Linked DNA regions of Diceros bicornis minor. The protein of the gene in region 4 interacts with the protein of the main gene of each other region in a pairwise test. Links are inferred from orthologs where the notes say so. Each region holds a gene or a part of one and is shown on either strand. Other genes may lie near its edges.

What was found.
Region 1: the proteins of TXLNA (region 4) and STMN2 interact in binary tests that used the Homo sapiens proteins (3 or more experiments, as listed by UniProt). The two-hybrid records come from large-scale screens. The link is inferred for Diceros bicornis minor from reciprocal best matches to the Homo sapiens genes TXLNA and STMN2.
Region 2: the proteins of TXLNA (region 4) and keratin, type I cytoskeletal 15 interact in binary tests that used the Homo sapiens proteins (3 or more experiments, as listed by UniProt). The two-hybrid records come from large-scale screens. The link is inferred for Diceros bicornis minor from reciprocal best matches to the Homo sapiens genes TXLNA and KRT15.
Region 3: the proteins of TXLNA (region 4) and MED4 interact in binary tests that used the Homo sapiens proteins (3 or more experiments, as listed by UniProt). The two-hybrid records come from large-scale screens. The link is inferred for Diceros bicornis minor from reciprocal best matches to the Homo sapiens genes TXLNA and MED4.

What each region holds. Positions count from the first base shown.
Region 1 is NC_080772.1:30,471,420-30,479,429, forward strand, and holds the start of STMN2 (stathmin-2), read left to right. Parts: upstream 1-5,002; 5' UTR 5,003-5,102; coding exon 5,103-5,121; intron 5,122-8,010. UniProt on the Homo sapiens protein: Regulator of microtubule stability. When phosphorylated by MAPK8, stabilizes microtubules and consequently controls neurite length in cortical neurons.
Region 2 is NC_080757.1:40,843,699-40,850,841, forward strand, and holds the start of keratin, type I cytoskeletal 15, read right to left. Parts: upstream 3,015-7,143; 5' UTR 1-3,014. Other genes in the region: KRT19 (keratin, type I cytoskeletal 19), read right to left, coding at 4,641-4,922, 5,032-5,157, 5,272-5,433, 5,734-5,890, 6,123-6,205.
Region 3 is NC_080748.1:28,976,187-28,983,269, reverse strand, and holds the start of MED4 (mediator of RNA polymerase II transcription subunit 4), read right to left. Parts: upstream 3,012-7,083; 5' UTR 2,992-3,011; coding exon 2,867-2,991; intron 1-2,866. UniProt on the Homo sapiens protein: Component of the Mediator complex, a coactivator involved in the regulated transcription of nearly all RNA polymerase II-dependent genes.
Region 4 is NC_080752.1:46,972,523-46,980,456, reverse strand, and holds the start of TXLNA (alpha-taxilin), read right to left. Parts: upstream 3,006-7,934; 5' UTR 2,904-3,005; intron 2,609-2,903; exon of another isoform or gene 2,343-2,608; 5' UTR 2,311-2,342; coding exon 2,133-2,310; intron 1,506-2,132; coding exon 1,167-1,505; intron 1-1,166. UniProt on the Homo sapiens protein: May be involved in intracellular vesicle traffic and potentially in calcium-dependent exocytosis in neuroendocrine cells.

The DNA.
Region 1 (8,010 bases), on a different chromosome or scaffold from region 4:
GCAGGATAGGGGTGGGGGAAGTTCAGAGGTTTAGACGTTAATAAATGATTAATGAGAAAATATCCCTGGAAGGCACTATAATAAAATGCTTTTCTTTTCTCTTCACTAGTTCCCCCTCCTTCTCCTTCCAGGTGTGATTTAAAATAAACAAAATTCTTAGGCAACTAATGCTAACTGTATGTAAAATGCAATGCTCATAGTGGGGTTTCTGTTTAAAAAATAAAATAAAATAAGGCCTGTGGGATAAATAGAGTGAGTCATACTTCTCCTAAATTTCTCTTCCAAGCACTTCAGTATTATCTCCATTGTGTTCTCGCTCGACTATTGTAAGCTCAAATGCTGAGTGGAATCCCAGGGGGAATCAACTTCCCAGCTTCTGTTCTCCTTGGACTCAAGCTGTAAATCAGCTCACAGAGAGTTACAGTGATTGCTGCCAAGATAGCAAAGAGTTGTTCAACATTACCAATTTAATGCAAAGATTCAACTTATTAAATTTATATCAAGTCCTTCTTATGATGAGAGCAAGTTAGTTTCCAAAAAAGTTCAATTATAAGACCATCAATAGGACTTACTCATTTCAATAAGTCCTTTTGCTTCTGTGTAAATTATACTAATAACTAATATATACAAGTCCCATTTGGGCATAAGGAAAACCTTAGGTACAAAAAAGGAGATAAAAATTAAGCATTCTTCATTTTTAAATAACTGAACTAAGAGGAAAATAATAAGATATATTCGTTCAGCATTGCAGGAACAACTCTAACACATTGGAAAAACCCTTGAACAATCGATTTCATTGTTAATAAGGAACACTAACTCTCCTGCCTTGGAGTGACTTTCCTTTTAAATAAACCATATTGGATGGTTCTATTAAAAGACATCCAATCCTTTTTGGTTTTCATTAATCTATAAGGGTTTAAATATGGCAAAATAATCAAAATGTTAGTCATTTATCTTTTTTCATGTGTTACTATTTTAGATGCATCTCTAGATATCATCAGCTTTAACTGGATTTCCAACCACCTAAAAAAATTATTTGGCTTTTTTTTTCCCCCACAAACTTCCTTTGTAATAAACTGAGATCAAATCAAAACAATTAATTCAACTCTAACAATATTTTCCATATCTCACTCACTTCTAATAATTACTTTAGAATTCTTTTCCAGGCACTTGATTATTATTAGCAGAAAATCATGTGACTACATTAGATGACGTCAGCTAATCCTCCGAAGCAACTGTTCCTCTCCAGTTTAGAAAGAAATCAACACGTCAGGCCTTCTCACAGACACAATACAACACACTGTAACCCACAGTAATTAAAATCTCTGCTAGCACATCTTTCATTTCCACAACTTCCTCTTACTGCTGTTGAAGATAAAAGAAATTAACAAGGGTCATCTATTGACATGAGCTCTATCCACCCATGTCCTTTTGCGAACAGGGCAGGGTATAAATATAAAATACGAAATATAAAAAAAAAAATTAGTAAACAGCCTAGTACCTGGTCCCAGCATGAGCTAAGCAAAGGAAGGTGGTTGGAAGCATTGCTATGGCTTCACTGGGTCCAATCATCTTGAATTATTTTCAACAGTTTATTATTATTATTGTTGTTGTTATTTTACAAGCATTTAGTGACTGTCTACTATGTGAGTCACGAAGCCAAGCACTAAAAAGGATATAAAGATATACACTACTCAGTCCCCACCCTTAAAAAGTTTAAATGGGGGCTTAGCCCGGTGATGCAGGCAGTTAAGTGGGCAAGCTCCACTGCGGCGGCCCGGGGCTCGCCAGTTAGGATCCCGGGTGCACACCAACGCACAGCTTGGCAGGCCATGCTGTGGCGGTGTCGCATATAAAGTGGAGGAAGATGGGCACGGATGTTAGCCCAGGGCCAGTCTTCCTCAGCAAAAAAAAAAGAGAGAGAGAGAAGAGGATTGGCAGATGTTAGCACAGGGCTGATCTTCCTCACAAAAAAAAAAAAAAGTTTAAATGTATTGAAAACCATAAACATAGTAGCTATAATTTATTAAATAGCCATGATGATTTAGGCAGTTTATACGCGATAACCCTTCAGTCTCCCCAAAATCCTGCACAATAGGTATTGTTGCCCTTATTTCACACTGTACAGACCCAGTGCCTATTCTTTAATGCGGGTATGCACCCATCCCCATCAAAACCATTTGCTTCAGGGAAAGCTGATTCTCATCTCCAGACCTCTGGGGCCCATTCGACCTCTATAGTGAGATGAGCCAACAAATCCCCTTTTATTATCAGAGCTAGTTTGGGTCGTTTTTTCTATTCTTTGCCACCAAAAGCACTCTAACTGATACCCAGGATAATATTCATCCTCCAAAATTAATAACATTTTCTTAAAGAGATGGGCATTACATTTTCCTTCATTGTATATTTTTTTTAGACATTAAGGTAAAGCTTAGCTGATTTCATAATATAAAAGCCTGAAATTTCATTAAATAAATATTCCTTAGATGAATGAATTAGCTGAACAAACGAATGAATAATGAATAAACTACTGAATATGGGATAATTTCTCTGTTCCTATTTTGCCCCTACTCTCTCAGGCTAAGATGCATGATTTTAGCATGATTTTACGCTAAAAGAAAAACAATAATTCTGAGCCAGTTGGTGATAGCCTGCTCTCTTTATATTCTATAGTAAATCATACTAACCCACCCTCTCCCCTGCTTGACATTATTTGAAAATCATGCATAACTGAGGTTAGGTGGCCCACACCCAGAAAGGCAGAAATAGAAAAGAGTCAAACATCTGACACTTGCCCTGTGTACGTTGACCTCTCTCTGACATTCCCTATCCATCAGTAAGTAATGTTCACCAGAGAATGAGAGATTAGACAGTAGAAGGGGTGTTTTGTTTTGTTTTACTCATAGTGATCAAAAGTGCAATACATCTTGTTCAACTGCCAATTGTAGTTGTTAAAGACAATAATGCCATAAGTGAGGGACCTTGTTCTCCAAGGAAGCTAAAGAATGTGCAGAAATGACACATAGCCTGAGGGGAAAGGGTGCGGTGGGGAGAAGAGGAATACTTTAAAGATATAAGTCACAGAGACATGCTGAAAATCCCTCACCTCATGACTGGTAACTACTCCACTGAGAGGGAATTAGCCCTCACATTTAAAGTGGGAAATGACTATAGAGAGGGATAAAATGGTTATTTATTTCCAGACGCCGCCAACTTCCATATTGCTCTCTTGCTGTGTCATAGTCACAGACCTGTACAATGAGAGAAAAAATAATTTCTAATCTTCCTGTTCAAGAAATAATTTTATTGATCTCCACTTCATTTTTTATTTTTTCTATGATTCAGCAGGTCATAATTGCTCCAGTTCCAGTAGCTTTCTATCACTCAGCAAGATGTCCATGGGGTTAAAATATCTTACAAGTTAATAGGAGGTGAAGAAATTTATTTCAGCACCAAGGAGAGTGCCCTGTTATTTTTCTAACGGTTCTATGCATTCAATACTGCATATTATTCATGAGGATAGAAAAGAAGTTTTGAAAGGTGATTTGATAGAAAGCTGCTAAGAAAAATCCTATTCATTTCTATAAAATTAAAAACTTGCCAGGGTTTTGTACACATACATGATTTCAACAATGTGCTACTCTTTTAGCTTTCAAATGCAATGGAATTAGGGATTATTTGCCAATTTTTCAAAGGCCAAAACCACAGTTTCTGAATGGCTCTAGACTGGAGGAAGGTTCAGCGAAGTCACAGAAGTGTTAAATTAACAGTGATTAAAAGCTCCATGAGAACAAGTCCTAAGATCTTTCTCACTGCTTATCTTCAGAGCTTGGCACACGGTAAATGCTCAATGAATATTTATGTGAGTCAAGCAAGAAAGAATGAATTAATGAATGGCATTCATTAAGCGAGTAAGAATAAATTAATGAATACCTTGTTTGTAATGAAAAGTCACTTTTTGCAACCAGTCTCAGAGATCCTTATAAACCACACTGCTCAACCTGAAACTTGAACACATGTTTCCTTGCCCTTTATCAAGGGAGTCTCTGGATCTCAGAAAAACCATGCTCCAGATCACACCTTCCACGTCCACTAAGCTTTCAGTGCAAAAGTTTCTCCTTAGAGCCCTGGAAAGGTCACCGAGGTTTCAATCCATGTAATCCTACATCTCCAGGGCAGCATGGCGTCCACCCACCTGTGGCTCCCCCAATGCTCCAACCGACCAGTCCACCTGGTTCTGCCCTATTACCAGAGGGCAGGTAGGACAGAGGCACAGAACTCTCATCCTCTTCCACAAGGTCCTTAGGTGGACCCTAACTACTTGTCCCTATTCCCAAGCAGCCCAGGCAGCCCCTTCTTTTTGTGCCAAGAGTAGCAAACATCAGGCCTTGCTCTGCTGAGAAATCCTCAAGAGTCCAGAGACATCTGAATCCAGCTGCGCTGGGAGACACAGGACAATAATGCAGTTCTGCTCTGAGATGCCACCATAGCCAGACATGGGGTCACCCTGGGAGACTAGAATTTACCAAAGATATGGCCAAAGGTGAAAGAGAAAACATGAACTAAATACACCTTATAAACAGATGTTTCCAACAGTCAGCACGTTGTGAAGACTTCTCAGGCCTCTGAATCCCTTTCCTTTTTTATGTCTATTTGTGCGATGAAACATGTGTGAACTAAGTCAAGCCTGCTGGCTCGCAGGTAGTCACAGCCCAGATCTTAGCTCCTAAGAGGCTTCTGGGCTAAGTCTCCACTCTACTTGGACCGTACTATCAGGCCCCCAAAACGGGGGGAGCTGCCAGGGAAGGGCTGATTTCCATTTCAAACTGCATTCTGGTACTTTGTACTCCAGCACCATTGGCCGATCAATATTTAATGCTTGGAGATTCTGACTCTGCGGGAGTCATGTCAGGGGACCTGGGGAGCCAATCTGCTTGAGCTTCTGAGTGATAATTATTCATGGGCTCCTGCCTCTTGCTCTTTCTCTCGCACGGTCCCACTCTGCAGACTCAGTGCCTTATTCAGTCTTCTCTCTCGCTCTCTCCGCTGCTGTAGCTGGACCCTTCGCCTTCGCCACCGCTCAGCATCCGCACATCCCTACAATGGCTAAAACAGCAATGGGTAAGGCATCGCGCCTCGTTCTCCCTCGGCTCGACCTGGAGCCCACCTCTCAGCTTCTCTCTTAGAGCTTGGAAGGCAATCGGAGATATTTTAGAGAGAAAAAGACGTTAATGGTAATAGGAGCACCAGGAGGACGGAGGCAGCTCTGGGGGTTTGGGGAGGGCAAAGAGAAGGTCCTTGGAAATTTAAAGCTAAGAATTTCTTTTAGAAGGTAGAAGCAGGTAAGTTGCCCTCCTATGGGTAGGGAATTTATTCTATTTCCGTATTTAAAATTAGGGCTCAATCGTGGGGGGTGGGGGTTACCGTAACTGTTTGCCTTAAAGGGGGTTAAGGGACATTTTGGAAAGTGCTTTGTAACGTCCTTTATTTCCTCTCTAGTTAAAGAAAGAAAATGGGGAAGAGGCAGGGGAGTGGAAGAAAGGAAAAAGAAAAATGCAAAGTCAAAGCGGTCCCATCTAGGCTGTTTGAAAGATGGGTGGAGACGAGGGAGGAGGGCGGGTGGAGAACAGGGCAAATTTTATGGTATTGTCTCGCCGGAGAAACCGCTAGTCCTGGGGCGCGGTGCGGGGAAGTAAGGGAGGGGGCCTATACGCCTTTGTTTTAGGAAGAGGGAGGGGAAGGAGAGAGGAAGTCGGGAGGGCAGGAGGGCGCGGGTGGGCAGCTGCAGGGGCGGGGGAGCGCGCGGCGGGGAGGGGTGAGGGACAGCAGTTTCGCAGGCGCTGGGGTGGGGTTTCTTTGTGTGAGGACGAGCGGTCCCGGGGGGAGGCACCTGCGGCGCCGGGCGCCCAATGCGGGCGGCCCCACCCTGTGCGGAGCCGCGCCCGCGCCCTCACCCCTTCCCCCAGCCGGGTGCGGCATCGCAGCCCAAAGGCGGCCGGGTGGGGAGCGCAGCGCGACACCCCGGAGCCCAGCCCTGGGGGGCCAGCGGCGCCACGCCCCCGCTTTGCGCTCCTGACTCCCAGCCCGGGCCACCGAGAGAGACCTGACCACTGCCCCCGCCTTCCCCACCCTGGCCTCATTGTTCTGTTTTACAGAGAGCGGGGGAAAAGTGGGTTAAGATTTTTCTTTTCAAAACCACATTACATAGAGTGATTCGACATAGGCACAGATAAAGGCTTCTAGGAACTCATCTGGGAAAAAGCTTCTGGAACCCGGATATGTGTATGTATAATAATACAGATACAAAAGAGGTCAAGGTCTTAAATTGAGCTACGTGAAATATCCGTGTCGTAGGTCAGACTGGGCCAAATACCCGCAATTTTCATGGGTTCATGAGATTTCGGATGCAGGGCCTCCATCCCCAACCGTTCTTGGGCCTCAGGTGCCCCGAGGTTCAGCGCTCGGTGGCCCGGGGTGGGCCAGCAGGGAGGGGCCCGAGGTCCCTTGGGGCTGGCGACACCCCTCCCCCGAGACGCGATGCGGGATGCGGAGAAGGGGAAAAGCCCCGAAAGGGCTCGCTCTGGACAGCTCCGCCCTGCCCCACCCTCCCGCGGAGCTGGGTCTGGGACTTGGCGAGGAAAGGGGGAGGGGCCGCTGAGCGGTCTGCAGTGCTAGCGCCCCGTTTTCCAGCCCCGCAGTCCAGAACGGCCCTGGCACCCCTCGATGTTGCGCAGACACGCGGCGTGGCGCCCAGCCGGGCGCCGAGCCCCTCCCAGCCCAGTGAGCGGCTCTGCAGAAGGCTGGCTCGAGCCCCGCCCGGCCACACAAAGGCGCGGCCCCACCCCAGCGGGCCGCGACACCGCAGAGGTGACCCCTTCCCGGGGGTGGGGGGCCGGGTTTCTCTTCTCGCCCTCCCACAGCCCGCGGAGCTCGGGGCTGTTTCCCCCCCCGCCGCAGCCCCCCGCCCACGCTCTGTTCTCCATGCTTTCCCCGGATGGAGACCCCTGGGATGGTCTCCCACGGAGGGACCCTCGCTCCTGCAGCGAGGCGTGGCTCGGCCCCACCCCTCCCAGCTGGGGCCCAGACCCGACCACCCCTCCCAGCTGGGGCCCAGACCCGACCGCCGCTGGCCGGGTGGGGGCGCACGTGGCGAGCCGGCGCGTGGAACGCAGCCAGCCCTGCAGAGCCCCGCGCCGCGCCCTGCGCTGCCCTCCCCGGGCTGGGCGCTCGGCCCCGCGGCTGCAGCCGGGGAGACGGGGTTCTGCGCAGAGCCCTGAGCTAGCCTCGCTTCCCGCAATTCGCGCTTCACCCGCAAGTCCGGAGGGTTCTGAGAAGGGGGGATGGGGGCGATCTCGCCCTGCGCTCTGCAGCCGCACCGAGAGGTTTCTGCTGCAGGAGGGCGGCTACAAACTCATCGTCATCATCACTATTATTGTTTGTATTTCAAATCATTATTATTATTTCATGACTCAGTGGCCCTATTTGTTCAAAAGGTTTGAATGATTGCATTTGATTAAGGATTCTACTCCTCCCTCCCCTTCTCCCCCAAAAAGACTTCTTTCTGCGGTGGTTCATTTTACGTTATAAAGCAAATATATTTTCGGTTCCTGTTGGGATTATGTATGTTCGTGTGAGTGGGATATATGTGCAGGTGCTTGCTAAGGGAAGGGCTTGTGTGCCAAAGATTGCTGGAAAATTCTCCGCAGAGAATCGTTTGTGGCTGCAATGGTGAAAAGATACATATATAATTGAGATGGTATGATCTTCGCCGTGGATTCCATAAGGTTATATCTATAAATATGTAAATATAGGTTATGCATAAAATTTTAACTGTTTTTTTAAACTATTCTTCCAATTGCTGATTCTTGATACAGTCTCAGTTCTGCACAGAAACACGGATCGTGAAATGGTAGCCACCATCCCATTAATAAAAATCCCACCCCAAACAGGACAGATGCAGGCATCCTCTCTGCCATGAGTAAGCTGCATTTGCAAATCATGAAAGGAAGC
Region 2 (7,143 bases), on a different chromosome or scaffold from region 4:
TCTGACGAAAGCCACCAGGCTCAGGGTTGACACGGGGCTGATTGATCCTCCCGCCACCTGCCGACCGCACGTGTCCCTGAACCTTTGCTTGCTCCCGGAACACGTCGGGGCAAACCTCTGCAGATAAAACTGGAACACGTTCTGGGAAGCCCCTGCCTCCTCCTCCGGGGAGAGGCATGTCGCTGCATAGCTGGGCCAGATTAACCCCATTTGTCCTGCAAAGTGATGTGGCGCTGGAGCGGGACCTAGCCCAGAAGGCTCTACGTGCCTGAACGTTGTGGGAAGGGAGGAAATATGGAGGCCTGGTGGGCAGACTGGAAGACACTTCGAAGATCTTGAAGGCCAAGGCACCACTTCACAGAGCAGGTTGCTGAGGCCAGAGAGGGGAGTCAAACACTCAGGAGAGCCCTTTTCTCTGTCACCAGCTCAGGGGCCAGCTTTCCAGGGGTAGCTGGTACCTGTGCACAGTGCCACTTGGAGGCGTGAGGCTGGGGAGGTGAGCAAGACTAAGCTGGAGATGAAAGAGGACTCCTGGCCCAGGGCTGCAGCGCGGTGAAGTGGACAGCGCTCGGGTGTTCCTCAGGCCTGGGTTCAAATCCTGGCTCTATGGGTTACTGCTTGTGAAACCTTGGACGTGTTACCTGTAAGTCTGTTTCCTTGTGGCAAGGGGCACTCTCAGCTCTCACTTATGGGGAGGCCCTGAGGCCCAAGGGCCCCCATCCTGCTTCATCCTGGCTCCCCATCTTCTGGGGGCCGGATAGCAGGGTGCATGTCCAGTACCTGGGACTCCCGCGTACCCTCACCAGGAGGGACTTTCGTCCTGCAGCATTGCTCTTCCAGAGCCAGCCCCACTGGGCACCCAGTGCAGGTGGTTGCCATTATTGCTGTAACAACAGTAATCCCTTACCTTCAACCGCACACTTCACGGTTTAACAGAGCCCTTTTGCATCCATCGCCTCCTCCAATCCTCACGACATAGAAGACGATCCCTGCCCCTGTTTCAAAAGAAATGAAATTGGGGCTCAGAGAGGGGAAGCAGTTTGTGCAAGGTGGCACAGCTAGTAAGGGGCATCGCTAGGACTCCAGTGGGTCCTCTGACCCCACTTAAACAGAGGACAGGAAAAAAGAGTCCCTCCCACAGACCCCAGATTCGTGCATCTGAGCTGGTAGCTGGGGGCGGGGGGGTGGGTGGTGTTGGTTCTGCTGGCCTGGGGAGTGGGGACGGGCTGTCCCTCAGTGAGCCAGGCCTCCGTCCGAGCATCCCAGTGCTGAGCCCTGACAGTGCTGTATTGTCTCATGGGTGGGCGGATATTGTCTTTTCCTCTGAAAGAAAAATAATCAAACTCAGATCAGCCGTAGCTCATTAAAGCCTCTGTAGTCATTAGGGCCCAGCAATTAACATGGAAAAAATTATGCGCCATCACCCAGGGTGAGGCAGGACTGGACCCCAGCCAGCCCCTCTTCTGCACCCTGACTCCCCTCCAGAAGCCCCTCGAGGTGGCTTTCCCTCCTCTCTCAGGCCCATGCCTGAGGCAGCAGCTGCCCCGGTCACAAATCCCTGGTTTCAGCCTAAAGAGCTCCTGTGAGCTCTAGGTCTGGGTGGGGCTGGGCCTGCTCATTAGCACCAGGTGGCGATGGCTGCACGGGCGGAGACCCAGCTCCTTTGGGCCCAGCCTGGGCTGCAGGCCCTTCCTCTGGCAGCCCGCCCAGGAGGCTGTGCCAGTTTCTGTCCTTTGCCCACAGCAGACAGACAGGCCGTCCCCAGAGCCGGCCTCTGTCCTTGGGGTGGGACGATGCAGCCCAGCGGAAAGAGCCTGGGCTGGACTCCGCCTCTGGGTGTGACAACCTCTCTGAGCCAGGTTCCCGACTTAAAATTGGGACATTTTTCCACTTATATAAGGCCTTAGAGTAGTCAAAATCATGAAGATAGAAAGTGTAATGGTGGCTGCCAGGGCCTAGGGGAGGGAGAATGGGGAGTTATTGTTTAATAGGCAGAGAGTTTCAGTTTTAAAAGATGGGAAGAGTAATGAAGATGCATGGTGGTGACGGTTGCACAACAACGTGAATGTACTTAACGCCACAGAACTGTACACTTAAAGATGATTATGATGGTAAATTTTGTTACGTGTATTTTATGACAATTTGAAAAAAAAAAAATAATTGAGTCACTAACACTGACCCCTGCTACAGGGCCACAGTGAGCATTTAATGGCACATGGGGAGGGGTGCCTCCATAAACCTGAGAATCCGCTACCCCCCTCCCCCACTCCCCACGGAGATGCAGGGGACAGAGAGAGCGTATGATCTGGGGCCTGGAGAATTGCTCCTTTGTCATTCATTAGATATGTGGCTTGGGGTAATGGAGCCTCCTATCTCTGAGCCTCAGTCTGCCAATCGGAAAATGGAAATAACTCCTGCCCAGTCTGACTCACAGGGATGGAGCAGAGAACTGACAGGAAATGCTTTGCAAACTGAACTGGTCATGATGACCAGCCGGGGTGGAAAGACCTCACCTCCCTGTCCCCTTCCCCTTTCTCTCTCCCCCTCTCCCTCTCCTCTATCCCAGCCACTTCTGTCAACAGAGCACCCCTAGTTTCAATTCTCAGACTGAGACAGAAAAGTGTCCTCACCCCTACCTCCCCAACACACACACACACACACAAAGGAGGGCTTCATTCCTGACACCCAAACCTGGGACCCAGTCACCTGCTCCACCTGTGTGGGCCCAGCCCCAGACCTACAGCCACATTCTAAGAGCCTCGGGGCAGAGGGGAGGGTTTCAGCTGTGACAACAACAGAGGCTTTCATGAACTGGGACAAACATCCTGGGAAGTCCCAGCCTGGCAGTAAGGCCAGGCCTCTGGCCTCTGGCTCCAGGGCCTCCTGAGAAGTTAAGTAGGAGAGGGAGCTGTGGGGGCTGGAGGCTGGAGAAGAGCTGGGGACGTGGCAGAAGGGGCTCCTGGCCCAGGGCTGCAGCAGGGAGAGGGAAGAGCTGGGCTCTGGGGTCACCCGTTGATTCGTTGATTCGGAGCAAGCTAATAAACTTTTCCAAGGCCCAGGGGAAACGGCGGAAAGGGGACCTCCTTCAGGATCGGCTTTGCGGGCCTCCTTAGCCAAGAGTCAATCTGTTCCCCTATAGCAGACCTTCTGGGGGAAGGAGCAGTGTCCCTTACAGGATTGGCCTGCTGTCACACAGATCTGCAGGGCCTGAACAGACTCCCTCAGCCTGAATCTCTCAGCCAGGGCGAAGTAGGACTTATTTACCCTTAATTGGCCTCAGTTCTTGGCAGCCAAGCTATAAACCACAGGGGCAGGACCAGACCCACCTGAGGGCAGAGCAGTACCAGGAAGCTGGGACCGGCGTTCCTTTGCTGGCCCGGAACCAGCCCAAGGCAGGCCAGTTTGGGGGTCTGTGTGGGAGGTCTGGGTCTCATTCCAGGCTCTGGGCCCAGGCATGGCTGGTGGGCATAGGGGCTTATGCAGGGCTGCCCGGGACATGGATGAATGTGTTAGTGCACGCACACCGGCAGATGCACCCTCTCCAGCCTTACTCTGAGCGGATGCCTGCCCCCCCCATTACTCAGGCTCTGACCCCAAAGCCGCAGTTCCTCCTTCAGTTAAGTGAACTGCCTCAGGGGATCCTGGTCCTAGGCCTTCACATGGAGCAAGACTGGAGTGTACTGAGGACTTGGCATAAGCAGGGTGGATCCTAGGACACAGGGGTGCAGGGGTGACACTGTGGTTAAGAATCAGGAACCCTGGGGCCAGCCCGGTGGCATAGCAGTTAAGAGCATGCGCTCCGCTTCAGCAGCCTGGGCTCTGGATCCCGAGCACGCACCGATGCACCGCTTGTCAAGTCATGCAGTGGCAGCATCCCATATAAAGCAGAGGAAGATGGGCACAGATGTTAGCCCAGGGCCAGTCTTCCTTAGCAAAAAGAGGAGGATTGGCAACAGATGTTAGCTCAGGGCTAATCTTCCTCACAAAAACAAAAAAAAAGAGAAGCAGGAACCCTAGATTCTGGTCCCGGCTCTGCCACGTAGTCGCTGTGTGGCCTTGGACAAGTTACTTTACCCACTCTATAAGATGTAACTCATACTATCTACCTTTTTATGTTGATTAAATGGCACATAGTAGGTATACAGTAAACATTAATTTCAGACACACACACACACACCAACCCTTGGGGGAACACAGTGTAAAGAAAACGAAATCTGGAAGCAAAACCAGTTTCAAATCCCACCTCTGCCGTGTGTTAGAATAGTTATACATACAACAAATCACTTCACTTCTCTGAGCCTTAGTTTACCCCTCTGTAAAATGGAAGCAATGCCTATTTCACAAGGTTGTTTTAGGGAACAGGTGAGATAAACGAAGACTTCTGCAAACAGGAATCACAATTAACAGAGTTTGTGAGCGCACTCCCGTCCCTTTCCTTGGACAGGGTGGACTCTGATCCAAATAAAACCTGAACAGTGCCAAGGCCTGGCCCATCTCCATGGGCTGAAATAACAAACCCAATGTCCTTCCTCCCTTGGGCCATAAAATTTTATTGGCAGATCAGAGGGAGAGCCACAGTAAAGATCCCTCCCCTCCCATGCCCCTACTCAGGGGCATCCCTCCACAGGAGGCTGCCGGACTCAGTGGGCATTGGGGGGTGGCGGCTTGTCAAAGGGGCGGCCCGGGCCCACAAGCAGGGTGGGGGCGTCCTGGCCCTCCAGCAGGCTGCGGTAGGTGGCAATCTCCTGCTCCAGCCTCGTCTTGATGTCCATGAGCTGCTGGTACTCCTGGTTCTGCCGCTCGGTGTCAGCACGCACGTCGCTCAGCTGGGCTTCAATACTACTGATCAGAGCCTGGATCTGTGCCAACTGCGCTCCGAAGCGAGCCTCTGTTTCTGCCAGCGTGCCTTCCAGGGCAGCTTTCTGAGGGCAGGGAGAGGGAAGGAGACTCAGCAGAGCATGGTTCCCAGAGGGGAAATGGGCACGCCACCACCCAGGCTACCCAAGCCTGCAAGGACTTGAGGGCACATACCATGCTGAGCTGAGACTGCAGCTCGATCTCCAGGCCCTGGAGAGTGCGCCGCAGGTCGGTGACCTCCGTCTTGCTAATCTGCAGCTGCTCTGTGTGGCCAGCGACCTCCCGGTTCAGCTCCTCAGTCTGCAATAAGAGAGGAGGTGGAAGGAATAAGCCCTGAGCCAGAACTTTGCCTGGGAGCATCAAGCCCTCCCTCCTGATCACCTCCCCAAAGGGCATCTGCTTCCCTCTTCATACCTTGCTGATGAACCAGGTTTCAGCATCCTTCCGGTTCTTCTCAGCCATGACCTCATACTGGCTTCTCATGTCGCTCAGGATCTTGGCTAGGTCAACGCCTGGAGCAGAATCCACCTCCACACTGACCTGGCCACCCACCTGGCCCCTCAGGGCACTGATTTCCTGGAAAGATAGCAGAGTGGGCATGTCAGAGCCCAGAGCCTGCTGGGTCTGGGCCAGGTCACGCCCCCGGCCCCCACGCCTAAGGGGGCTGGTTTTCAGGTGCAGACCTAGGAGGCAGCATGGGGGGATAGACTGGATTGCCACCACTCCCTGCTGGAACCCTGGGAGCCACACTCTGCACCCAGGGCCATGCTGAGGGTGCAGCAAGTATGGCGACAGTCAGAGGATACAGCATAAAAAAATATCCTCAGCCCTGGGAAGCTAGGGTGGAAAGGATGGAAGGCCCAGCTTGAAACACACCTCTTCGTGGTTCTTCTTCAGGTAGGCCAGCTCTTCCTTCAGGCCTTCAATCTGCATCTCCAGGTCGGCTCTGGCCAGGGTCAGCTCGTCAAGCACCCTGCGCAGGCCGTTGATGTCGGCCTCCACGCTCAAACGCAGGGCCTGCTCCGTCTCAAACCTTTCAGAGGCAATAGCTGCAGTCAGGCCGGCATTTCCTCTGCACCTCTGAAGACTTCCCCACCTCCCCAGGGTTTAGGAGTCTATGGGGTGGGGGAGGAGTTGCTTCAGACCAGCTGGGGTGGGTGAGGGCAGGGCCCAGTCCCCCCACTGCACTGAGCCCCAAAAGGGCCTGGGATTGCCCCTCCTTCCCTGCCCCGGCTTCTGCAGCCCTCCAGGGCAGAGGCGCTTACTTGGTGCGGAAGTCATCCGCAGCCAGACGGGCATTGTCGATCTGCAGGACAATCTTGGAGTTCTCAATGGTGGCCCCAAGAATCTGAAAGACAGGAAGCAGGAGGTTACTAGCATTGCCCACCCACTTTCTCCCCAGAAGAGAGAGAGGAGAAAATGAGCATGCCCTCGTTCCCTAGAGACCAAAGCCCCAACCACCTCTCAGGCTGCCCATTGGCCTGCTCCCTAGGTCTTGGAATCAGTCCATGCTCAGGAGCTGGAGCAGGAGAAACCACTGCTGGGGAGGCTGAGCCGGGGTTAGGGAATGGGCGAGGGAGGGCAGGGAGGTAAACCGGGAGGAAAGTCTCTGAGACCCCGTACCCAGGGAAACTCTAAACGGTCTTAGAGAGGCACCTCTAAGTGATGTGCAAACCGGATGCAGGGACGTGTAGGGGTCACCCTTGTCTATACCCCCCCCCCCAAAGCACACTCTGCCTCAGGGAAAGGAATTCCATTTGTTGAGCATCTATTATGTGGGGGCACTCTGCATCTCAACTTTCACACCAGGTCAGTGGGTGCACCTGATTTACAGAGGTGGAAACTCAAGTTCAGGATTCCTGGTCCAAGTTCACCCCAACCAGAGGTCCCTCCCCTAAGGGGCGTATTCACACCATTGATTAAGATCCTTGGGTTTAGTGTTTTTCAAAGAACAAGTTGTGACTCGTTAGTCATTGTACTGGGTGGTGATTTGCACAGTTTTTTAATGAAACAGAACAGAATGTCAACTATCAGAAGGGTTCACCCACAGCAGGGTAAGGATTGTTTCAAGAAGCTTTTGCTTCCATTGTGTGTGTGGGGGGGGGAGAGAGAGAGGGAGGGAGGGAGGGAGAGGGAGAGAGGGAGAGAGGGGGAGAGGGGGAGGGAGAGAGAGGGAGGGAGGGAGGGGGAGAGGGAGAGGGGGAGAGAGAGGGAGGGAGGGAGAGGGAGGTGGGAGAGAGAGAGAGAGGGAGGGAGAGTGAGAGAGAGGGAGGGAGAGGGGGACGG
Region 3 (7,083 bases), on a different chromosome or scaffold from region 4:
CTGCAGAGTGCCTCAAGAAGGACGCATATAGGAAGGAAGGAATCAATAGATTTAGTGAGGAGGACTACAAATAATGAGAGATCAAAGTCATTTTGGCATTCTTGGAGAAAGGGTAACAGAAGAACTACAGTTTCTTTCAAAGGAAGCAAAAGAGAACTCAGCACCTCAACTGATCGTGTACAGCTGGAAAGCTGAAGCAGTTTCAGAAATCTTGAGGCTCTTGAGGAAAATTTAAATGATTCACCATTACTTTATGGGTAAATACATTTCATCAAACAGAAAATGCTATACTCGGTAATCAAGGAAAGAATCAAATATGGAGAAGGATAAACAGGGTCAATCTAGGTACAAGAGAATTTCAATTTAGTTTCAAATTTAACGTAACTCATAGATTACTTAATTATGCTATCTCAAGTGAAGAGTACATCAACAGCAAGTATATGGACTCCTACAGGTACCAACAGCATCAGGAAAACACACCTCAGACACAACCAGTAGCCAAACGATCCAGCGGCAAGATCTCAAGATGGACCACTGGGTTGTCCAATGTCAGAAGAAATTCTCCAAGACTGTTACCCTGGATGGGTAGACTCAGAAAAACAATTCCTGAACTTGAATATGAAATATATACAAGGGTTACTCAGCAAAACAGACAAACAAATCATGTTACAGCAAGTAGACCTCAGAAAAGAATAGAATTTACTGGGCTCCAGAGTAGACAAGTGAGAAATAATAATTCATTGAATATACTAAGGCAAAGATTTGGAATTTTAAGACTAAGACCTACTTAGAACAAAAGGCAGCACACACTACTTCCCAAAGGAGGTGTCACTTCTTCACAAAGTCCACATATTTACAGAAAAATTAATCACCAGCATCCACACCATATGGTTGGTCCAAATGAACAAATAATAAGGAACATTTTACTGGTTAGGTTGAATGCACTGAGTTTTTCAAATGAAAGTTGGTCCTATTTAGAATAGCAGTGAACTATTTACAAGAGGTTAATTTGGTGTTTAATAGCTAACAAAGAATAACAACTCAACCTGAACTAAACAAAGCTTCAATTAGCTGTCCCGAAGACAGTCGTGTCAACAGAGCAGAGATGTGAATAATTTAACTGCAAAATTCATACCACGAAAACTCTTGTCTTGCTAGCGTCTTTTTACTAAGAAATCATGCTGGTATTCACTAGATAGGATTAACTAAAGAGGATACTGACAAGTTGTCCACCACAAACTACAAAGCCAACAAAGACAAAGAAGGAAATGAAATAGCACCTGCATTAATCTGCGTAAACATTTACACAGCGGCAACACATTAAGACAGCTTGCCTGTGAGTTTCTTGTTCACTGTACTGCCTGCTGGCTGGCTGAAAATTCCACGTGCCCTATTTGTCGTCAGGCAGTATTTGAGTCTAATACTATCCAAACAGTGGATTAAACACATAAACTATTTAAGTTCTGGTGTCTGTGTGTTTTTAGGATTTAATTATGTCATTGAATATTGTGCTAACCTAGTAATCTGGTTAAGCAATGCTTGCTATAGCAAGGACTAAATTCACAGCCAAGATAAAATTTATCAGAAGGTCAGGTAATACCATATATAAGATTTATTCTAAAGCTGTCAAAGAATGTGGTACAGAATAGGTGACATTTGAGCCGGATACTGAAGGATGAATGATTCATCAAGTTGGAGGTGGAGTGAAATGGCATTGAAGACGAGGAAATATGGCTAGCTCTAGAATGGGGAGCATTCACCCAGGCTGGAGTGAAGGGTACAGGAGGCTGGAGGGGTGTGGCAGCAAATGAGGATAATAGGATGGATTAAGACAAGAGGGAGAATGGCCTCATTGTACACTAAGCTAAAGTTTGGACTTCATTTCATTGAGTAATGAGAATCTACCAAATATTTTAAAGCAGAAAAGTGACAAGAGATGCCTAGCTCTGCCCTTGGCAATATAGAAGGATAAAGTGCAGAAGGATTAAGGCAAGTAAAACTGTTGAGAGGCTGCATTAAGAAGTAGTCATGACCATGCAGATGGGAACGGGAGGCCAAATCTGAGCAACATTTTAGGAGAAAGAACCAAAACAATTTTAACATCCAACTGAAGGTGAGGGAGTTAAGGAAAGGCTGCAACTCCACAGACTACCATGAAAGATGACAGAATAAGGAGAATGACATCCAACTTCATCTCCTACCTCTATCACACACGCTGCACTCCAGCCATCCCAAAATTGCAATTCCACCACCAAGTCGTGCGTGCTCATGTTTCCAGGCCTTTGCCCATGCTGTTCCAGCCACCTGCAGCCTAGTGAGTCTGGTGAACTCGTTCTTTCCATATGGTCCTTCCTCCAGGAAGCCTGCCCTGACTACAACCGGGACAGGCGCCTAGTCCCGGGGCTCCAGGAGCCCGCAGTGCACGTCTTGATAAAAACAGTCTCCGCGCCACAGTCACTGTTTACACGTCAGTCTCTTCCCCTGACACTGGCTCCTCCACGTCGCCATCTACCCCTCACTACCGTCTCCCAGCGCTCGGAAGCCGGGGGTGTTCCTTAAATGTTTGCTGAGTGTCGTGGACGAAAAGACTCACACGGGGCTCTCCCTCTAAGGTCCGCTGCGGTTCTGACAGTCTTGGGGTTCCAGAGTCACTGTCATTATTAAAATGTCCTCTAAGGGGAACATGCCATCTCGGAGTCCCAGAGGGTTGCAGACACTCGTGCCCCGTCTTTGGAGTGAGCGCCACAGTCCCCCGAGCGCGGCCGTCCCCGCCGAGCCCCGGCAACCAGAGGCAACGCAGGGCCGGCGGTCCGGAGTCAGTCCGCCCGGCCCAGCCCCAGCCAGGCCCTCAGGCCGACGGCATTACCTCGACAAGACCTCCAGATCCTCCAGCGCAGACAGCAGCCGCTCTCGCGTGCTGTTACCGCCCGCCGCTCCCGAGCCGCCTGCCGGCCGCTCCTTCTCCTTCTCGCCGCTCGAAGACGCCGCCATTCTTCGCTCGGACCAGCAGCCGGCGCCTGCGCAGCTGCGCGCTGGCGACGACAGGCGGGCTGGGGAGGCGGAAGGAAGGGCCGCCGAGGCGGGGGAAGAGAGGCCCGGCCGGAGCGCCCCCTGCGCGCCCAGAGGTGCATTGCGCGCGCGGGCGCCATCTGCTGGGCCAGCGAGGGCTTTCTCGGGTCCCACCCTGGAGCGAGAGCCAAGCCCACAACGTGGAGACGCACCTGCGGTCAGGTTTTCCAGCGACTTCGCGTCTTCAAGCAGGTATGGGAGGCTTCTGCTCGACGGATTTTAAACATTCGAGGGAATTACATAATGGCCCACCTCTTGTGTCAGTTCTTCGTGAAATGGGCCGGGGTCTTCTCAGTATTAACCTCTCTTTAGTCTGCATTCCCGTTAACGCTATTCCCACCCTCCTGTTTGGCATCTCTTGAACGCAGTAAGCACCTTAGGACCAGAACCATGATCCAAATTTTTTTTTTTTTTTTGGGAGGAAGATCAGCCCTGAGCTAACATCCATGCTAATCCTCCTCTTTTTGCTGAGGAAGACCGGCTCTGAGCTAACATCTATTGCCAATCCTCCTCCTTTTTTTTTTCCCCCAAAGCCCCAGTAGATAGTTGTACGTCATAGTTGCACATCCTTCTAGTTGCTGCATGTGGGATGCGGCCTCAGTATGGCCGGAGAAGAGGTGCGTCAGTGCGCGCCCGGGATCTGAACCCCGGGCCGCCAGTAGTGGAGCGCGTGCGCTTAACCGCTAAGCCGTGGGGCCACCCCATCCATCTTTTTTTATCTTCAGTTTTTCTTTATTGTGGTAAAGTACACATAACATAAAAACGTACCTTGTTAACCATGCTTAAGTGTATAGTTCAGTGACATTAAGTACATTCATATTGTTGTGCTACCATCACTATCTCCGTAACTCTTTTCATCTTGCAAAATTGAAACTGTACCATTAAACAACTCCCCATTCCTGCCTCCCCCAGCCCCTGGTAACCACCATTCTGCTTTCTGTCTGTATGGTTTTGACTGCTCTAGGTACCTCATAAAAATGGAATCATACAGCACTTGTCTTTTTGTGACTGGCTTATTTCACTTAGCATAATGCCTTCAAGGCTCACCCATGTTTTACCATGTGTCAGAATTTCTTTCCTTTTTAAGGCTGAATAATATTCCTTTGTTTGTGTAGACCACATTTTGCTTATCCATTCATCTGTTGATGGGCACTTGGGTTGCTTCCTCATTTTCATAATCCATCTTTATAATCCCATAACTCCCAACAAAATGTGTTGCTCAATGCTCCACACGACTGTTGAATTGAAGGAATCAATTTACTATGTAAGTGGTAGTTAATTAAATTGTTGTAGCACATATTCCAAATCAGAACTGGATGTCAAAGCCAAAAATGTACCTTAGCCCACTTTTCCTGAGGAGAACAATGTAGTAGGGGACTTGCAGTCTACAGGAAAACCCAAAGTTACAACAGTATTGGAAATGGCGAGTTCTATGTTGGTCCAAGTTGGGCTGTAAAAAATGAGTTGAAGAGTTGTCGCCTACAGACAACAGCTGGGAAGGAGGCAGGCGTACTTGTGATCCCCTTATTCCAGCATCCTGTCCTCTGGTCTGTCCTTCTGCTGGGCACGTAGAGTTGAAGATTCCCTCGGGGACTCATGCTAAATAAATTCATTCATAGCAACTGCTGTATATAATCCAGAATGCTGATTTATTCACTTACAATGAAAAGTAGTAGTGCGAAGCACAATTTTACTCATAGACAAACCTACACAAGAAGCCAAATTGTCACCAGAATGTCATTTGGTAAACTTGGATCAGAACAAATGAAGATAGACAAAAAATCAATTAATACAATCATCAGGATTTGCATCTCCATAGTGTAGGGACATTTGTGTTAAAGAGATTGGAATATTTGTGTTCATAGGTCAGGGTGCCTTCTCCTCTAGACAGTGCAAAGGCACCAGACACCTTTTATTTTCCAACCACCCCCCACTTCTGCTCCTGGCCAACCCCTTCTATTAATACAGTCAATTCTCAGGCAGTGGAATAAATTAGATGTATGTTTTCTCAATTACAGTTGCATTCTAAGCATGCATCCCAGTAGCTCTAGTCTGTAATCTCTTATGTTAAGTTTCCAAGGGACTAAACTCTTACACTCTCTGTGGGTTTTGTTTACTCAACTCTCACAGGTTCATCTTGGGCCATAATTCTCGGGGGGGAAGGGAGAAGTTCAGTAACACTAACTATATTAGTGTAGCTTCCACGTAAATATTCTGGGAGGATTCTAATCAATTTAAAATGACCAATTATCAGTCCTACTTTACAGACATTGAGAGTCAATGGATGGACAGTGTATGTGTGCTGTGAACTCCAGACCTCCTCAGATTTATTGCAAATTCTTATGCATGTTGAACATTGTCTATAGACTGATAAGTAATAGCATTACCCACAGATATACTCTTTCACAAATTGTGCAGATCCAGGTGTGATAAACAAAATATGAGTTATTTTATAATATATATATTAAAATTGAATATGAATATTTTATATATCTTATAGTTATTATAATAATTGAATTCATGGTAACTTTGCGTGTAAAGTATTTTCTCAATCTACAGACTCAAAAAGGGTAAGTGCTACTTTCCTATGAAATTTTATGTATTTAACCTGCCAGGTACTGTTCTTTAAAAAAATGAAAACTCCTTTAATTCTCATAAGAGTCCCAGAGGCATATACCGTTATTATCGCTATGTTACAGATAATGAAGTTAGGAGGCAGAGAAATTCAGAGACTTGCCCAAGGTCATACAGCTGGTGAGAGGCAAAGCTGAGATCTGAACCCAGAGTCTGACTCCAAGGTCTGTGCTCTTAGCTGCTGGTTGTCTTGCCTCCCTTTTTAAAGAAAGAGGTGCCTTCATGTACTGAAAAAGGGTTACTTAGGGCTAGTCTAAAATACAAGCTCTGTCGAACGCACAGTTTGAAACTCTGAGTAAAAAGCAGCTGCAAACCTTTCGTGTGGCGGTGTGAGCATGCAGCGAGAAACCCAGCCAGGCCGGTCCCTAAGAGTCAGCAGAATAGGTGGCCGTATACACTATGTGTGGTTTTTTTATTATTATTTTTTATTTTTATCAAGCAATGTTTAAAAGTCAAATAGTGCTCAAAAGCTAACAAAAACAAAAAAAGTTCTCAGTCACTACCTCCCCAACCCCCACATCCTGTCACATTCCTCTCTCCCTAGCGGCAACCACTCTCAACATTTTTAACTGTTTCTTCTATGCGTTGCTTCCATATTTTTAAATAATATGCATATATTCTATGTCTCTATTAAACCCTTTGAGAAATTTATTGCTTTCCTATTATAATGGAGAATTTTCTCTCTCTTACATGTAGCTAGAATCCAATTTTTTTTAAATCTATCATCAGTGCTTACATTACTACACTATTATTTACACGTAACTATGTAATTATTATTTGTTTGAGATGCCTTACAGATATCTCTGTAGAGATTTTTAAAAATTGGAATAGAGCAGAAAATTTCTAAAGCATCAAATTACATTGCACTGCTTTGTGGAAACATTTTTCAGTTACATATTTATGTATGTGTGTACTGGGTCAAAGATTAAATATGTTTTTTACTGTGGATCGAAAAAGTTTGCAAGCGTTGGAAAGTAAGGAGTAGAAAAACATGTTCTACCTGAAGTGCCCTGAAGGGAGAGTCTGTATACCTTTTGCATTCAGGGGGCAGAAAATTAAAGCAAACGTGTGCAAATAAAGTGGTGTGTTGCGATAATTATCTGGGATGCGTTGCACAGATAGAGGGTGTTATAGGCTAAATTGTACACCCTCAAAATTCATATGTTGAGGACCTAACCCCCAATACCTCAGAGTGTGACTCTACTTGGAGGTAGGGCCTTAAAAGAGATGAGTAAGTTAAAACGAAGCCATTAGGGTGGGCCCTAATCCAATCTGACTGATATTCTTATAAGAAGAGGAAATTTGAACACACTGAGAGATGAGGGATGCATGTGCACAGAGAAGAGACCATGTGAGGACACAGCAAGAAGGTGGCCATCT
Region 4 (7,934 bases):
CAGGCAGCCAAACAGTGAACTTTAACATGAGTATACCTTCCAATATTTGATGCTAAGGTGAAAAAACAACAACAAAAACCACCCTCTTTAAATTAGAATGGCAGGTAGAGGTGGGGGAGTAGGAACTAAGACATGGGCATAATATCACCTAACTTTGATTCTTTAACATACACTAGCCTGAGTCCAATTTTCCCACTGTCACCTGGAGGGCCGGCGTACAGAGTACAGCACGAGGCTCCTGAAGGGTCAACCCTGGGAGGCTCCGAGATCAGGGTGGAGACTGGAAATCGCTGGCACACAAGCCAAATCCAACCCACAGATGGGTTTTGTTTGGCTCCCAGCATATGAGTTGCCAAATGTTAGAATTCTGGACATTTCATGTAACCCTAGATTTCTGGCTTTTTTTTTTTTTTAATTTTATTTATTTATTTTCTCCCCCAAAGCCCTAGTAGATAGTTGTATGTCATAGCTGCACATCCTTCTAGTTGCTGTATGTGGGACGCAGCCTCAGCATGGCCGGAGAAGCGGTACGTCGGTGTGCGCCCGGGATCCGAATCCGGGCCGCCAGCAGCAGAGCGCGCGCACTTAACCGCTAAGCCACGGGGCCGGCCCATGGCTTTTCTTAAAAAAAAACAAAAAGGAAAAGCTGGCTACACTTAGCCTGTGGTTTTACATGCAACGTTCTGGGACCAGGCGGCAGTCAACCCTTTGGATGAAGTAGGTACTCTCTTGGTCCTCATGGGGCCCCCCAGCTAGCTTGGCTCATTTGAGTTTTCAACCCTGGTCTAGGCCAATTCTCTTACTGTAGAGAAACAAACATTAAGGACTAGAGAGAAGAAAGGTCTTGCCCAAGGTCACAGAGCAGGTTAGAAATGGTGCTGGCTGACACAGGAGCCCACTCAGGTCTCCTGCTCTCCACTTTGTCAGAGAGCGTAAGTTGGATTTCAGTTCCTACTTGCTCCCAAGGCCAGAAGCCCTTGCACAGTGAACAACCTGCACACTTCTATGCAATGGCCCCAAAGCACTGGCTTTGATTAAACTAGCGGGACTCTCTGCTCTGGGAAGCAGGATTTCCTCTGAATCCTGGCAGAGCAGGCTAGCCCAAGGAATGTCAGGTCCAAACTTCTCCCCCTCAGCACCCTCACAAGCAGCCGCCCTCTGCTCACCCAGACCCTTGGCTTTCTTCTTCTCTTGTGGCCTTCGGTGGTCTCGGTCTCCGACTTCGTCACCTGCCCGGATCTCATCTGTGCCTGGCTCCCCCTTGGAGGTCTCCTTCTCACCATTGACTACTGGGGTCTCTGGCTCAGGCTCCCCATTCCTCGAAGCATAGGTCCGGGACTTCTCTGCATCTTCAGGCTCAGCAGGCTCACCTTGTGCCCCGTCCTCACCTGGGGCCCCCTGATTGTTGTCCACACAGTAGGTACTCAGGATGTCTTCCAACTGGCGGCTCAGCTCCTCAGACACATCACGGAGGGCCCCGGACTGAGCAGTTTTGGCTTGTGCTCCTACACCAGGAGAGGAGGAGGAGCAGAGTGAGAAATAAGATGGTTATACCAATGGTTGGCGTTTTTCAGGTCCAAACTTACTAGTTTGGGTGAGATGTTGCCTAACATCTTTAAGCCTCAGTTTATTTACCTATAAAATGATATAATTATTTCTCACTGCTGCCCGATTGTGTTTGAGTATAAAAGAAATCAAGTAAGTAAAGCATCCAACATAGGGATGGCATGTAGCAGTTCAACGTCTAGTCCCTGCCCTTCTCCTCCCTGCAAAACTCATTTCTTACTATTAAAAAAGTTCCAGAAATGCCTCAAATATGAACAGCAGTTACCCACTGGTGAATAAGGTGTTTCTAACCTGGATTTGCTGGCTAGGTGTCTCATCTGACTGCTCCCTGATTTAATCCTGTCAGAGCCTTCTCTCAAGACAGTTCTGTTCCTGTGCTTAGGGTGGGGGCTCTACCCACTCCCCAGGAAACGGTGGGGACCGCACAGACTCAGCAATGTCCTCTTCTCATTCTACATTTCCTCCTTCCTGGGTAAACAGTGGCCCTGCCCTCTAACTCCAGAAGCTAGACTGGCGAATCACAAACTCCTCCCCCTGCCCGCTGGAAAAGCAGAGCTGGCACACACCCTCAGTCTTCCCTGGAGCCTGGCTGGTGGAACTTTCAGCTTCTGTCGCAGGAGCCGACTGGCCGGGCCTCCCCTGGGCTCCCTCCGGTCCTGCTTCCGGTTGCCCTGGGGTGCTTTTTGGGTTGGAAGTGTTGCCCGATTGCTTGGCAGCCCCATTCTTTTTGTCTTGGTTCTTCATTGTGGTTTGCAATGCTAGGTTAGGAGCAGATCCTATAGAAACAAGCACACTTGCTATTTTCCAGACTAAGAAATTCTTCGTAGCCTGGATCAGAAATCTCAACACTGGGCGCACAAAGCTTCTTAAAACAAACTGGCCGGCCTTCCCCGGAGGGAGCCAACGGTTCCCCCTGTCTCTAGCCAGTCACAGGAGCCTGGTGTGCCCAGGCAGGTTTTCCGGGCGCTGCTCCGGGAGCGAGGAAGGAGAGGCCTCCTTTTTCCCGAAACCACTTCCCGGGGACAACACGGGCCCTCACGCAGGCCTACCGCGGGACAGGCTCAGGGACCGAGACTGACGTGGCGAGACGCTCCATCGCCGGTCCCTCCCCGCCCCCTAGGCCCCACGTGGGGCCCCCAGCGCGCGCCCGCGCGCAGCCACCCACACCCCGCGCGCCCTCCAGCCGCGCGCTCCGCCCGCGCATGCGCACAGGTCTCAGCCCTGCCCCCCGGCCCGAGCTCTCGCGCAGAATCGGCGTGTTTCCCCGCACTGGCCGAAAGGGTTCAGGTCCACAGACCGTCTGATCGCCTCGTCCCTCTAGCCGCCGTGGTACCCACCTCAACGCCAACGTCCCGACGGCTTCGCCCGCTCTGGCCTCGCACCGGAAACCCTGGGTAACCGCTGCCGGCAGAGCCGCCTGCTCCCGCCGCAGCCAATCAATAGCCGGCGCTCTCGCGAGGCTTGCTGGGAAAGATGAAGCGAAGGCAGCCTCTGAGGCCGGTGAGTTGGGAAGGCGGGGGAGGGAGAGGACTACAAGTCCCTCCATGCACTGGGGCTGACCCCAACTCCCAAGATGCAGTAGGAAGGGGTTTAGTCTTGGAGCCCGATACCCAGGAGGTCCGAAAGAAGCAGGTCATTTTGCACAAACATCAACGTCAACCTCGTTTCCATTACGCGGAAGCTGTGATTCAGCTCTCAAAGCCTTGCCCCTGGCTGTTCTTTCTTACATGCCTCCACCCTTTCTGCGAACATCTATGACTATCTAGGAACTCTGAGGACAAGGGATAGAATACTGGGGCTGGGAATCAGGAGATTTGTATTCCAGTCCTAACTTCATCACTAATTTGCTGTGTGACCAGGCATTTTTTTCTTTTTAACAATTTTTATTTATTTATTTATTTTTCCCCATAGCCCCAGTAGATAGTTGTATAAGTTGCACATCCTTCTAGTTGCTGTATGTGGGACACTGCCGCAGCATGGCCAGAGAAGTGGTGCGTCGGTGCGGGCCCAGGATCCGAAGCCCAGGCCGCCAGCAGCGGAGTGCGAGCACTTAACCTCTAAGCCACAGGCTGGCCCCTGGCATTTTTTTTTTTTATCCGAGGGCATCAATATCCGTATTCAAATAGAAGCGTTTAATAACAATAGCAGTTCTTTGAGCGCTTACAGTGTGCTTTCTCAGTGTCTACTAGCTTAATCCTCATAACTAAGTACTATTTGTTATTCCCATTTTATAGCCAAGGACCGTAAGGCAAAGGTTAGATAACTTGTCCAAGGTCACATCGTTATTGAATGGTTAGAGCAGAGATTCGAGACCAGGAAGTCTGGCACCAGCACCCATCTTTAACTACTAGACTACCCTGCCTCTTACCCAGAAGAAATAACCACCATGGGACGCTTTCCCTGACGATGACTTGTGACTTGTGAAAGTAGGTTATATTTTTTCCCCTCTCCATTACCAGCTTGAGTCCCTCTTTGGAAAGGGTAAGGGGGCCCTGTAAGGGGAATTTTGGCCTCAGCAGATTCCTGAGCCTTTTCTTTGACTGGCTCATTCTCTACAAAGTCTCAGTTGCACTGGGGCTAAAGGGGAAAAAAGCCAAACTTTTCTCCGCAAGTGATATCACAATTCTTTATCCAGTTGCCTAGAGGTAATGGAAAAAAAACCGACAACTCTTGCACATGGAATTTAATGTCTACATGGTTTGGCTTCTGTTTCTAGCCGATCCTGCCCATCCCCTCTGCCTTTTTTGCTCCAATTATACTTTTATTTCCAGGATTTCCTAGGTTTTTGCAGGTGCTATTCCACCTTCCAAAACGGCCTTCTGGCAAAAACAAAATCTTTTGAAGTCCAGGTCAAAGGTCACTTCAGAGCCTTCCCAGTGCTCTGCAGTCTGTCCTGGCTCCCTAAGTCTGGATAGAGGTCTTATTACAGCATTAGTAACAAGGTGTTGAAATTACTTGCTTTACAAGTCAATGACATTGCGAGAACAACAATGACATTGGCTAAATTCTCTAGTCCTAAAGCCTAGCATCATTCTGGAGGCAGAGAGTTTTAAATTGTTGTGCAAATTGGGCATTGTTTTAGGGCTCTTAAGATGTTAAGTATTTTCCCCAGTTAGAGACTTCAGGGCAGTTCTCTTCCACATCCCTTAGGCAGCAAGAGTTTGCATTTTCCAGGTAACATTGAGAGGCAATATGGTATAATAGTATAATGGTCAAACTCAAGCTCTGAAAGGTTTGGAATCCAGGTCTCACGAAACCAAGTCCCTGCTTATTTCCAGAGAAGCACGTTGGAAATTTCTTGAGAAGGTAACATATAAATCAAGCCTTGATGGATTTTCATGGGAAGAGGATGTTCTAGGCAGAGATAAAGAACATAATAAGCAAGAACAAGGTATGCATGGGGTGAAGGGTGGAGTGGTGTATCAGGATCATCAGTGGCCTACAGGGGCCACCTGGGTAATGAGTAGAGCAGGCAGGCAAGGAATAAGAAAATTTGATAGAAACATGGGTTAAAAAGTTACTTTCTCCTTTGCTGTAAAAGAGAATATCACCAATATTAGCATCTGCCAGAGTCAGTCAGGGAGACCATTGAGAATGGCGGTGATTGTGGTAAAATGGAGCTCTTGCAGATTGTTTTCAAGCAGAAACTCAGGCCCAGCAGTGCCAGATATTTTTCAAGATAGATATATCTTTATTTTTTTAAATGTTGGCAACAAATTAAACCTTAAACACACTCTATCAGCCAACCAAAACCCTCCTTTTGGGTTGAACCAACTTTTTGTCTGTAATCTCTGCTTTAGGAACTGATCTAAAATGAAGTGGGTAGTTGTGAACTGTATGACCTCAATGGGCTCAAAGGGCTGTGGAATGGTGCTGATGAAATGATGTCAAAATCCTTTAGAGAAACTCTAGAAAATATGCCAACTAAACTATAGTGACAAAATGCAGATGCGTGGTTGCTGGGGGTCGGGCAGGAAGGAGGGATTCCAAAGGGGCATGTGGAAACTTCTAGAGGTGATGGATATGTTCACTATCTTGATTGTATATGCCAAAACTTATCAAATTGTACATTTTAAATATGTGCCATTTACTCTATGTCAATTATATTACAATAAAGGTGATTTAAAAAGATTCTCTATAGCAGGAGCAGGCTGTTGCAATTCTTAATTCCACTGTTAGGCCACAAGTTTAAACACCCTCTCCTCATTCGCTTCCACAAAATCTAGGATCATTCCAAAGAAGACGATTTAGAACTTTGCAACAGGTTTTTATTTTTGCTTTATATCTATTACAGTGTTTGAAACCTAAAGAAATACATTTTCTCTTCAAATTTGGATGTGTATATAAATATCATTTGTCTGGACTCAGCACACTCAATGCCATGGTTTCTTGGCCTATGTCTGCTCTGAAATAATCAAGCTTTGTCTGTCTACCCAGGGGCCCTGAGAACATGGAAAACAGCCAGTTTACAGTTCTTGGAAAACTAAAAGCAAATGAATTTGGAAAGAAAAACCAGTAAGGAAAAGGGTTCGATTCACCTTCCTTAGGTTTGTAGCTGGGAACCCAAGCTGTTTCTGAGGGACAGCCAGTCTGTCTTGGGTGGCTAAGACCTCACAGCCCCTTCACTTCTTTAGTGGTTCAATCAAAGGCAGTTCCCACAAAAGCTGGCCAATACCTAACTCCAGGGCCTGAAGGTTCTTGTAGAGGTGGGCTCTTTAAGGCCATCTTGTGAGTCAGAGGTTCCTAGCCAGTCTCAGGCTCTAAGCTTTGACTTCCTTCACTGCCCCCAGGGCATGGCCAAGTTTTCTCTCCCCAAACCCAGGGGCTGAAAATCTGACCTACACAGGGGAGCAGGGCTAGTGTTTAGCAGAAGGGTTCAGGTATGTGCTAACGCAGACGTCAGCAGTTAGGCTTGCCCAGAAGTAGCGAGGTAGGCCCAAAGCCACTGAAGACCTTTATAACACACTACACAAACCTTTCTCCCAGGGTGTTCTGGGCCCAAAATTTAACACTGCTTCTTCTAACTCTCATACCCAGTTTTGGTTCTGCACATAGCCCAGGCCTGATGCAAAATGCCCTCTGAGAGGAAAATAACAGCTTTAATTCACAGACTTGGTTGGTATTGACCTCAAATTCTTCATTTGCCGTGGTCTTAAATCTGGGGGTGGGGCTAGGGGCTAGACAATGGGATGACTGAATCATTTAGGAAGGCCTTGGTCAAAGAGCAGCTAGTGCCTACCATATGGATCTCCGCAGAGCCAAATTCTCAGCTTGTTGGCTTAACAACAGAATCCAAAAGTTAAGACAAGAAAAAATACTGGACAAGATTGGTCTAGAATGTGCAATCCTAAAACGGCTGTGGAAGAAACCCACTCTGGGCAATTTTTCACTCTCACACTCACTTTTTGGATAGTCCTACCTGGAAGATGTTGCTACTGGTTATGAGCGTTTCCTCAGTTCAGTGCACTGAGCCTTGCACCCTTCCCCAGCCTGCCAGAGAGGCAGATAGTCATACACATTCCTGAGGCCCCCAACCAGCCTGTTTTCCCTACGTATCCCTGTAGTGCCTGCAGGGACCTGGAGAACCTGACTCCCTGCCTTCAACTGAGAATCCAGAATCTCACCCCACAAGATGAATCTACTGAGGAATACCCAAAATGATGGATACCAAGCTGAGTCTCACTGAGAAGAGATGTGGCCTGAACAAATGAGCTGAGGCCTTCAAAGAGGGGCATGTGGGATGAGGAAGTATTCCCAGGCATTCATCTCCTTCCCTTCTAGTTTGCTAGAAACAGGGGTAACTCTAGGATGTAGAAAGAAGGCAGTAGACTTGAGAAATGGAAATCCAGTTCATTCTGATAGACCATTTTCATTTTAAACTGGTTTGGCTTGAAAGAAATAGCAAGTCAGTGCCTGAGAGCCTTCCTTGCTCTTCCTTAGCTAAGTACAGAAGCAGTTATAATCTGTGCAGTTCAGTTCCAAAAAACAGGGCTCCTGGAAAGTGGCTTCTACAGCAAAGAGAGAAGGAGTAGATCTAAGAGTTCTAGGAAAAGGGGGAACATCAAGGGTCGGGTCCCTGAAAGCTGAGATCATTAATGCCTGCTTCTTAAAAGGGTCATTTGTACCCACTACCCCAAGTGACCAGGCTGGCCAGATGAGGGTGGAACCCTATGGTTCAACCAGAAGGTTGCAGCCAACACCAAGGCTAGGCAGTCACTGGGGACAGCTCAGAATTGAAGGCAGGCTTCTAAGACCAGAGACCTTGTTAGTACTAGAAAAGATGATTTTGGGGTGGGATGTCCAGAGGGGCTGGCAATAAATAGCTGGCACTGTTCAAAACAGTATTTGAACACACTAGTTAAGAAGTA